Mus musculus: one gene and its partner. The protein of the gene in region 2 purifies or fractionates together with the protein of the main gene of each other region. This does not show direct contact. Links are inferred from orthologs where the notes say so. Each region holds a gene or a part of one and is shown on either strand. Other genes may lie near its edges.

The links.
Region 1: the proteins of Sgsh (region 2) and Sumf1 purify together in Homo sapiens (co-immunoprecipitation; 3 studies listed by BioGRID and IntAct, with this or other methods). This does not show direct contact. The link is inferred for Mus musculus from reciprocal best matches to the Homo sapiens genes SGSH and SUMF1.

What each region holds. Positions count from the first base shown.
Region 1 is NC_000072.6:108,150,776-108,154,589, forward strand, and holds part of Sumf1 (formylglycine-generating enzyme precursor), read right to left. Parts: intron 2,461-3,814; coding exon 2,338-2,460; intron 1,567-2,337; coding exon 1,452-1,566; intron 1-1,451.
Region 2 is NC_000077.6:119,345,467-119,349,280, forward strand, and holds part of Sgsh (N-sulphoglucosamine sulphohydrolase precursor), read right to left. Parts: intron 2,426-3,814; coding exon 2,222-2,425; intron 1,372-2,221; coding exon 812-1,371; 3' UTR 1-811. UniProt on the Homo sapiens protein: Catalyzes a step in lysosomal heparan sulfate degradation.

The DNA of each region.
Region 1 (3,814 bases), on a different chromosome or scaffold from region 2:
AGCACCAAAGTTAAAACTAACTGCATGTAACAACTCAAGTTCTAGGGGACCCAACTTTCTCTTCTAGGTTCTGTGGACGCCTGCACATACCCTTACACAAATAACTAAAAATAACATCTTTAAAATATTCTATCCAATATGATTTAAAAGAAATATATAAAAATATATATGCTACATATATACCAGATGTACTGGCTAGTTTTGTGCCAACTTGACACAGCTGGAGTTATCACAGAGAAAGGAGCTTCAGTTGAGGAAATGCCTCCATGAGATCAAACTGTAAGGCATTTTCTCAATTAGTGATCAAGGCGGAAAGGCCCCTTGTAGGTGGGACCATCTCTGGGCTGGTAGTCTTGGGTTCTATAAGAAAACAGGCTGAGCAAGCCAGGGGAGGCAAGCCAGTAAAGAACATCCCTCCATAGCCTCTGCATCCCTCCATAGCCTCCTGCTTTCTGACCTGCTTGAGTTCCAGTCCTGACTTCCTTGGTGATGAACAGCAGTATGGAAGTGTAATAAACCCTTTCCTCCCCAACTTGTTTCTTGGTCATGATGTTTGTGCAGGAATAGAAACCCTGACTAAGACACCAGAGATACACATGCTGGCAAAAAGGGTAGTTAGGATCATGAGATTTGGGAACAAGCCAAGCTGGGATTTGAATCAGCTGTGGTCACTTTCCCAGCTATGTAAACTGGAACAGGAGTTTACATCTCTGTGCCTCAGAATGTCACAGGCACACCAATACCCATCTTAAAGAGTTAAATGGACATTACAAATGAGCAGATCTATGCATGATAATGGAGCAGTAATCCTGGCACACTGCAAAGCTGGTACCACCATCACCACTAACCCCTAGGATGAGTGGAAGGTCAGGGACCAGAGTGCTAATAGAGATTAACCTGGGAAGTAGACTGCCAGGCCAGCTTAGCTTCTTCCTCTATCCAGGGAGTCTTTTTCTTATAGTGTGCATTATATAGTCACACACAAAAAAAAAGCACCCTAAAGGAGACAAGACATCTGATGATTTCCAGCATTTGCCACTCTTGAGGGTGGATAGTGAAGGAAGAACAGTGCTGGTCAGAGAGCAAATGGTACCTTTCACACACACACACACACACAAGCTCATGCTACAGTGTGTGTGGAAACAAGGAGACAACTTACGAGATTCTGCTCTCTCCTCCCACTACAAGGATTCTAGGTGATAACATGGGTCAGCATACTTGCTTACAATTACCTCTCCCCACTGATGAATTTCTCTGGCCCTGGTTTTGTGTTCTTCAGATGGGGCTTCCTGTAAGTCAAGCTTGCCTAGAACTCACTACGTAGCCAAGCTGAAGTTCTGATTCTCCTGCCTCAACCTCCAGATGCTGGTGTCAGACCCGGGTCTTCCAACCCAGGCCCAGTGCCTTGGCTCCCAGGCACACAGCCCTTCTCAAGAAGCCTGCTTACTCACGGGGGCAGTTCCTTGGAAGCCATCCTCGCCAGTGTTGCTCACAGGAAACTTGCCCTGCCAGATGTTGGCATAATGCTGTCCTTTGGGCTGCAGTTTGTTGCCCCAGGGGAAAAGCCTGTGAGGAGAGACACAGGCATCAGCATGGTGCACGGGCTTCTGGACCACAGTCAAAAGGAAGGATGCAGTGGGAGAGAACAAACAATGCACGTCTGTCCTGGGTGAACTGTTTCTTTAAAAGATACCCTTGTAAATATAACTTTTAATTGGAACTTTTAGAAATTTTCTTAAAACAACTCATGTCAAGTGTGTAAAACGTCAGTCTCTCCTCAGCACTGAGAAGGCCTGAGATAAATGATATGACTGAAAGAGGCCTTCTAGAGATCGGAGACACAAGGCATCACTCTGGACTTATATGGTAACATGAGCAGGCACTGCGTACCACACTTTGTTTTAAGCCCTGTCTATTTTAAGGAGCTTTTCCTAGAAGATGTGACCCAAACATGAGTTTTCTGTCTCATGGCTGCAGAAGCAGAGAATACCGTGGTTTCAGAAGACAGCCAAAATAAGAAAATGCTAAAAGCAGGGCAGCCTGCCAAGCAGCTCTGAGGAGGGATACATAGGAGCGGGTGTGTGGCCAGCGCTCACTCTGCCACTACAGAGTCCATTTGGTCCCATACCTGGCTTTAGGAACTGTAAAAAGTTTGTGACTCACCCACTAGTGTCACCAAAGCACCTCACAAGGAAGAAGAAAAGCCAGCTGTTATTAATCAACTTCCTGACCACAGCAAGTTCCAGGGAGCCAGGGAGAAGGGAGGAGCAGAGGAAGAAGGTGTAGAAGAGAATGTCAACACACTGCAGGGCAAGGCAAGGCCTTGTGTTTGAGTACCTGTTCTGCAGGCCTCCTCTACAGCTGTATTCCCACTCTGCCTCAGTAGGCAACCTCTTGCCCGCCCATGTGCAGTAGGCAACAGCATCGTTCCAGGAAACATGGAGAACCGGATGATTTGACCTAGAGAGGAACACGCGCAGTTAAAAGAGACAACGGCCTGAACAGAAAGCAGGAGGTAGATTCAGAAAGTGACCACAGTCATGATTTCAAAGCCTAGCTGCGACACACCTGTCCTCTGCAGTGGGGACTTCTGAAGTTTTAGATGCCCAAATGGGTCACAGCCTCTCTGCACTCAAGCATCTCTTCACTTTGTAGCCTTGGAGGCCCACAGATTCCATGGGGATGGCAGGCACAGTGAAGCTCTGCCCCTATTGGCTCAGCTGCGTAGAGTCATCAGCAGAGGCTTCTGGCTCCTTCCGCATTTTGCAAAATGGTTAGGGGCACCTTAGAGCCTCCAGTGACTATCACAGCAGACATGTAAGGCCCACAGAGGCTCAGCTTATAATCTGTACATTCCACAGAGCTCCATGCAAAGTAAACCAGAACTTTGTTGGGCTTACACAGTAGTTTTGGCATCTACTCCCTTACACATCTGTGAGTCCCTAAAAGACATGCCAAACCCTTAGCCTGTTTCCAGACACCTAGCTTTTAACTTTGCATGTTTCTGCTATCCTACTAAGGGTCAGCTAGCACCATCTGCCTCACACTAGCAGCCTTTCCTGAGAGGATGGAGGAAGTCACTGGAGCTGAAATCACCACTCACTTTTAGGTGACCTAGACTGGCCCACCTAACTCCTCATGCAGCTCTGAATTCCTATAGGACATTCATTAATTTACTCCACAAAGGTTCCTGAGTAGCTCTGAGTCTAGGGCATAAATTTAAAAGTATATTCCAGTTTGGGAGTGCAGCTCGGTCATAAAACAGATGGCTATGTGTTCAAGTCTTAGCACCACCAATGAAAATGCAGTCTCCTTTGGGTTTTCCTAACCAACTTTGCACCTGGAAAAGAAGGTAAAATTGAGATCTAGAGAACAAGTCCACCCCAGGTCCTCAAGGATCCTGCAACGTTCTACCTCACCGTCCATTTCTACACAGAGGAAGCCAGTTCAGACCTTAAAAAGTTTTGTATCTATCAAGGGGGTTGTGTCTCTAGAGCTGAAGTTCATATATATATTCCCTGTTCCCTGATTTTAAGGGGAATAACCTTGAATGTAGTTAGAAACAAAGGCCAAAAGCCCTGTCTGAAGAATGGGGTTAGACGAACAGCTTCCTGGCTGTTGGAAGCCAAGTCATAACTGAAACCCCCCTTCGTCCCCAGGGTATAATGTGCATCTCTATTTTTGCTTAAGATAATTACCTCCTTGCCACCCCGGAGACGTACTGCCACTCTGGGTTTTGTTTTGTTTTGTTTTTTGTTTTAGTCAGATTTTGGCTTCTAAGTGTATCAGTCCAGGACTAAAAAGCACATGGCCA
Region 2 (3,814 bases):
TAGGGCCCATAACTCTCACTCCCTTCCAAGATGGAGTTGACAGAGGGGCAAAAGGGACAGCCCCTCTCTTTCTAGATTTCTAAGCAGTGCTTCTGTCCCTTGGCAAGTGAAGGAAGGGAAAAGATGGAGCCAGGTGGTTTGCTTGGTGTCACTCAGAGAGAATGAAAGGAGAGAGAGGGGGGAGAGAGAGAGGGAGAGAGAGCGCACACTGTCCCACCCTGTCCTCCTCAGTCACCCTCAGAAAGGAGAGCAGAGCCCAGATAGACCACAGGATCAAACTCACTCCTCTGAGAACAGCATGAACCCTGGCTAAGCATGTACCTCAGGGGGGGAGCATGGAGGCGGAAGCAAGCTCAAGGCCTACTGAATGCTCTCTCCAGGACAAGGTTGGTTGAAGTAGTCAGTGCGGTCTGCCCACTGCCCATGTGGCACCCAGAAACCTGAGCTCCTCTTAGGGTGAAGGGCTTGAAAACATCCACAGGTTCCCGAAACCAGAGGGCTTCGAGCCCCAGACCCTGCTCCTCCATCTGCAGATCTCCAAACTCACCTATCAAAACTTGGGGTTCTGCCATGCCCGAGTTCCCCCTAGAGTCTCCTGAGCCAGGACAGGCAGACATGAGGACAACGGTGTCCTTGGTATGGCAGCAACTAGGGAGTGCGTGCTTGAGTGTCCTCTACAGGAGGCGGGAGTGGCATCCCATATGGTAGAGGGGCCTCCTAGGATGGGTATGTAGAAGGTGCAGCTGTTGGTACTGCCTCCATTGCTCCCTCCCTCCATGTCCAGGTGGGCTGGCAGGTGCCCCGGGGATGGTCAGAGTTCATTGTGAAGCGGTCGGCACTGGGGTGTGAGCTTTTCCTCCAGGACTCCATCTGGGGCGCACACCCAGGGGTCATGTGTCTCCCATTGCCACTTGACAAGCTGAGCTTTCAGCATCTCCAGCACTTGAGCCAAGTCTGGGTCAGCGGCCAGGTTCCGTGTCTCTCGAGGGTCCCGGCTGATGTCGTAGAGTTCCCAGCGTTCCCGGTAGTAGTAACGGTGGAGGTCCTTGTACCAGCCCGTGGGCCGGCCTGTGGTGGTTCGGTTCAGGAGGTCCTGGAAGGTCGGCGAGACATAGAAATCTTGGTCGATGGGAAATGGCATCTTGAAGCTCAGGTTGTGAATGAGGCGGAAGTTCTGGTGGTACACCGAGCGCATCGGGTAGGACATGGTGACCTCGTGGTGGCTCTGGCTGCTGAAGACAGTGGCCCAAAGGGGCTCTGCCTCCAGCGCCGGCAGGAGGGATCGGCCTGTGAGCTGGATCGTCTTTGAGCCAAAGATGGCATAGCTGGGGTACGGGATGGAGAACCAGTCCAGGATGGTAGGGGTGAGGTCTGGAAAGGAACAGGCTCTTAGTGGGGACACGGACAGGCTCTTAGCAGGGGTTCCTGGAAGACATGGAGCCCATTGTAAGGGCTGGATCTGAGTCTCTCGGGAAATCCCATGGGCACTCGTAGGATCGGATCACCTCTGGCCAGTGAGGCTGATAACAGTATAACCAGAGGCCCTGGCTTGCTGATATCCAAGAACCTTCTAAAGTCCTATGGACTAGAGGAACCCTGGGTAGGGAGGGCTCATCCACTCAGTCTGGGTTGGTCACAAGGTTCCCTCACTCATGGGTTAGGGTCACAATGGAGAAGCGAGTCCTGAGCTGGAGGGAGCCTATCTTGTAGCCACTGAGAAGAACACAGGGACTCTTTCCAAGCAGGTGGGCTGGGCACAAACTCAGTCCCTCTGTTTCTCAGCCCCTCTGTTCCTCAGCCCCTTTGTCTGTTTCTCACACCTGCATGTATGCTTGCTCATCTGTGGTATGGGGCCAGATAACCAGGCTCTCAGAGCTGAGTCATGAGAGGCTCCAGATCCTGAGAAAAGGGGAAATGGTTCTCAAGTGGGCAACCCACAGTCCATCGGTCCTGCCTGGGACCCCACCAGACACTCTGGGGGTCGTGACGTGACAAGAACAGACCTCCAGGTGACTCTGGTTCTTACCATGTAATAGAGGGGGCCATCTTGTCCCTACCTAGGTGAAGGAGCACTACCTAGGTTCGGGAGCACTCCTGAACCTAACCCATGGCTGTCCCATTGGACTTCACTTCTCCCTTCCCATGAGACAGCCAGGCAGGCAGGCAGGCAGGCAGGCAGGCAGACAGACAGACAGACAGACAGACAGACAGACAGACTGACCTAGAAGGCTCACGTAGGCGTCGCTGACCTGGCCCCAGCGCTGTGGGTGCTCTGGAGATGACACCAGCAAAGGCTCGGCTGTACCGGGCCAGTACAGGTTGGTCCTGCCGCTGGGGAAAGGGATACCATTGTCAGATGTGAAGATGATGAGGGTGTCGTTCAGCACACCAGCACCTCGCAGCTCCTGGAGCACCAGACCTACCCCTGAGGATGGAGAGGAGGAAGAAGGCTCAGAGGCACATGTGTCCACTTACCCCTGGGCTCTATTACATCCTGGCCCTCACACACCCCTTCAGTCTTTCCTGCAAGCCCAGCCTCTAGCCCAAACCACAAACCTCCTGTACACATGGTACAGGTCACATGGCTTCCAGGGACCTCTCATCCCTTAGAACTCCTGCCATATGAGGCAGCTGGTACTGCCCCAAGCTGGCTTCTGTTTTAGAATCTAGTGTCTATGAAGCAAAGAGACAGCTTGGGTAAGAGCCTAAGATAGGGCACCACTGTTAGAGATCTTCTGGCATTCGGGGATAGCCTGGGCTATCAAGTGAGTTCCAGGCTAACCTGGTCTATAACAAGACCCTGTCTCAAAAAGTCAAAATAAGATGGCAACCAGGCAGACTGAGCAGCAGCTAAACTGCTTGCCATGCAAGAGTCAGGATCACAGAGTCTGGATCCCAGGCACCCACATAATTGCCAGGGTGAGAGAGCTCGCCTGGAATTCCAGCCATGGAAGGCAAAAATGGGGTTCCCAGAGGAAGCTGGCTCCCAAGACAGCAACATCAGCAAGCTCTGGGTTTGACTGACAGACTCAGTCTCAGTAAAGGAGCTAAAAAAGAGACAAAATGACTTCCAATATCAACCTCTGGCCCCCACATGCACACACACATTTGCACACCCATACACGTGTGAAAGTATGCACACACATTTGCACACCCATACACATGTGAAAGAATACACACACATTTGTACACCCATACATGTGTGAAAACATGCAAACACACACACATACACACATGAAAAACAAAGAAAAAACTTAATTAATGAAAATGAAAGCTGGAGCTGGAGAGATGGCTCGTGGTTGAAGAGCACTGGCTGCCCTTCCAGAAGATGCAGGTTTGATTCCCAGCGCCCACATGGTGGCTCACACCCATCTATGATGTCATTCCAGGGGATCTGTTGTCCTTTCTGGCCTCTGTGGGCACTGTGTGTATGTGATGCACTTACATACATGTAGGCAAAACATCCACACAAATAAATTAAATATGAAGGAGAAGGAGAAGAAACAACATTTGGGAGACAGAGGCAGGCAGATCTCTGTGAGTTTGAGACCAGCCTGTTCTACAGAGTGAGTTCCAGGACACCTAGGACTACACAGAGAAACCCTGTCATTAAAAAAAAAGGGGGGGCTGGAGAGACAGCTCAGCAGTTAGGAGCACTGACTGCCCTTTCAGAGGTCCTGAGTTCAATTCCAAACAACCACATGGCAGCTCACAACCATCTGTAATGGGATCCGATGCCATCTTCTAGTGTGTCTAGAGATAGCTACAGTATATCCAGATAAATAAAATTAATAATAATAATAATTATTATTAT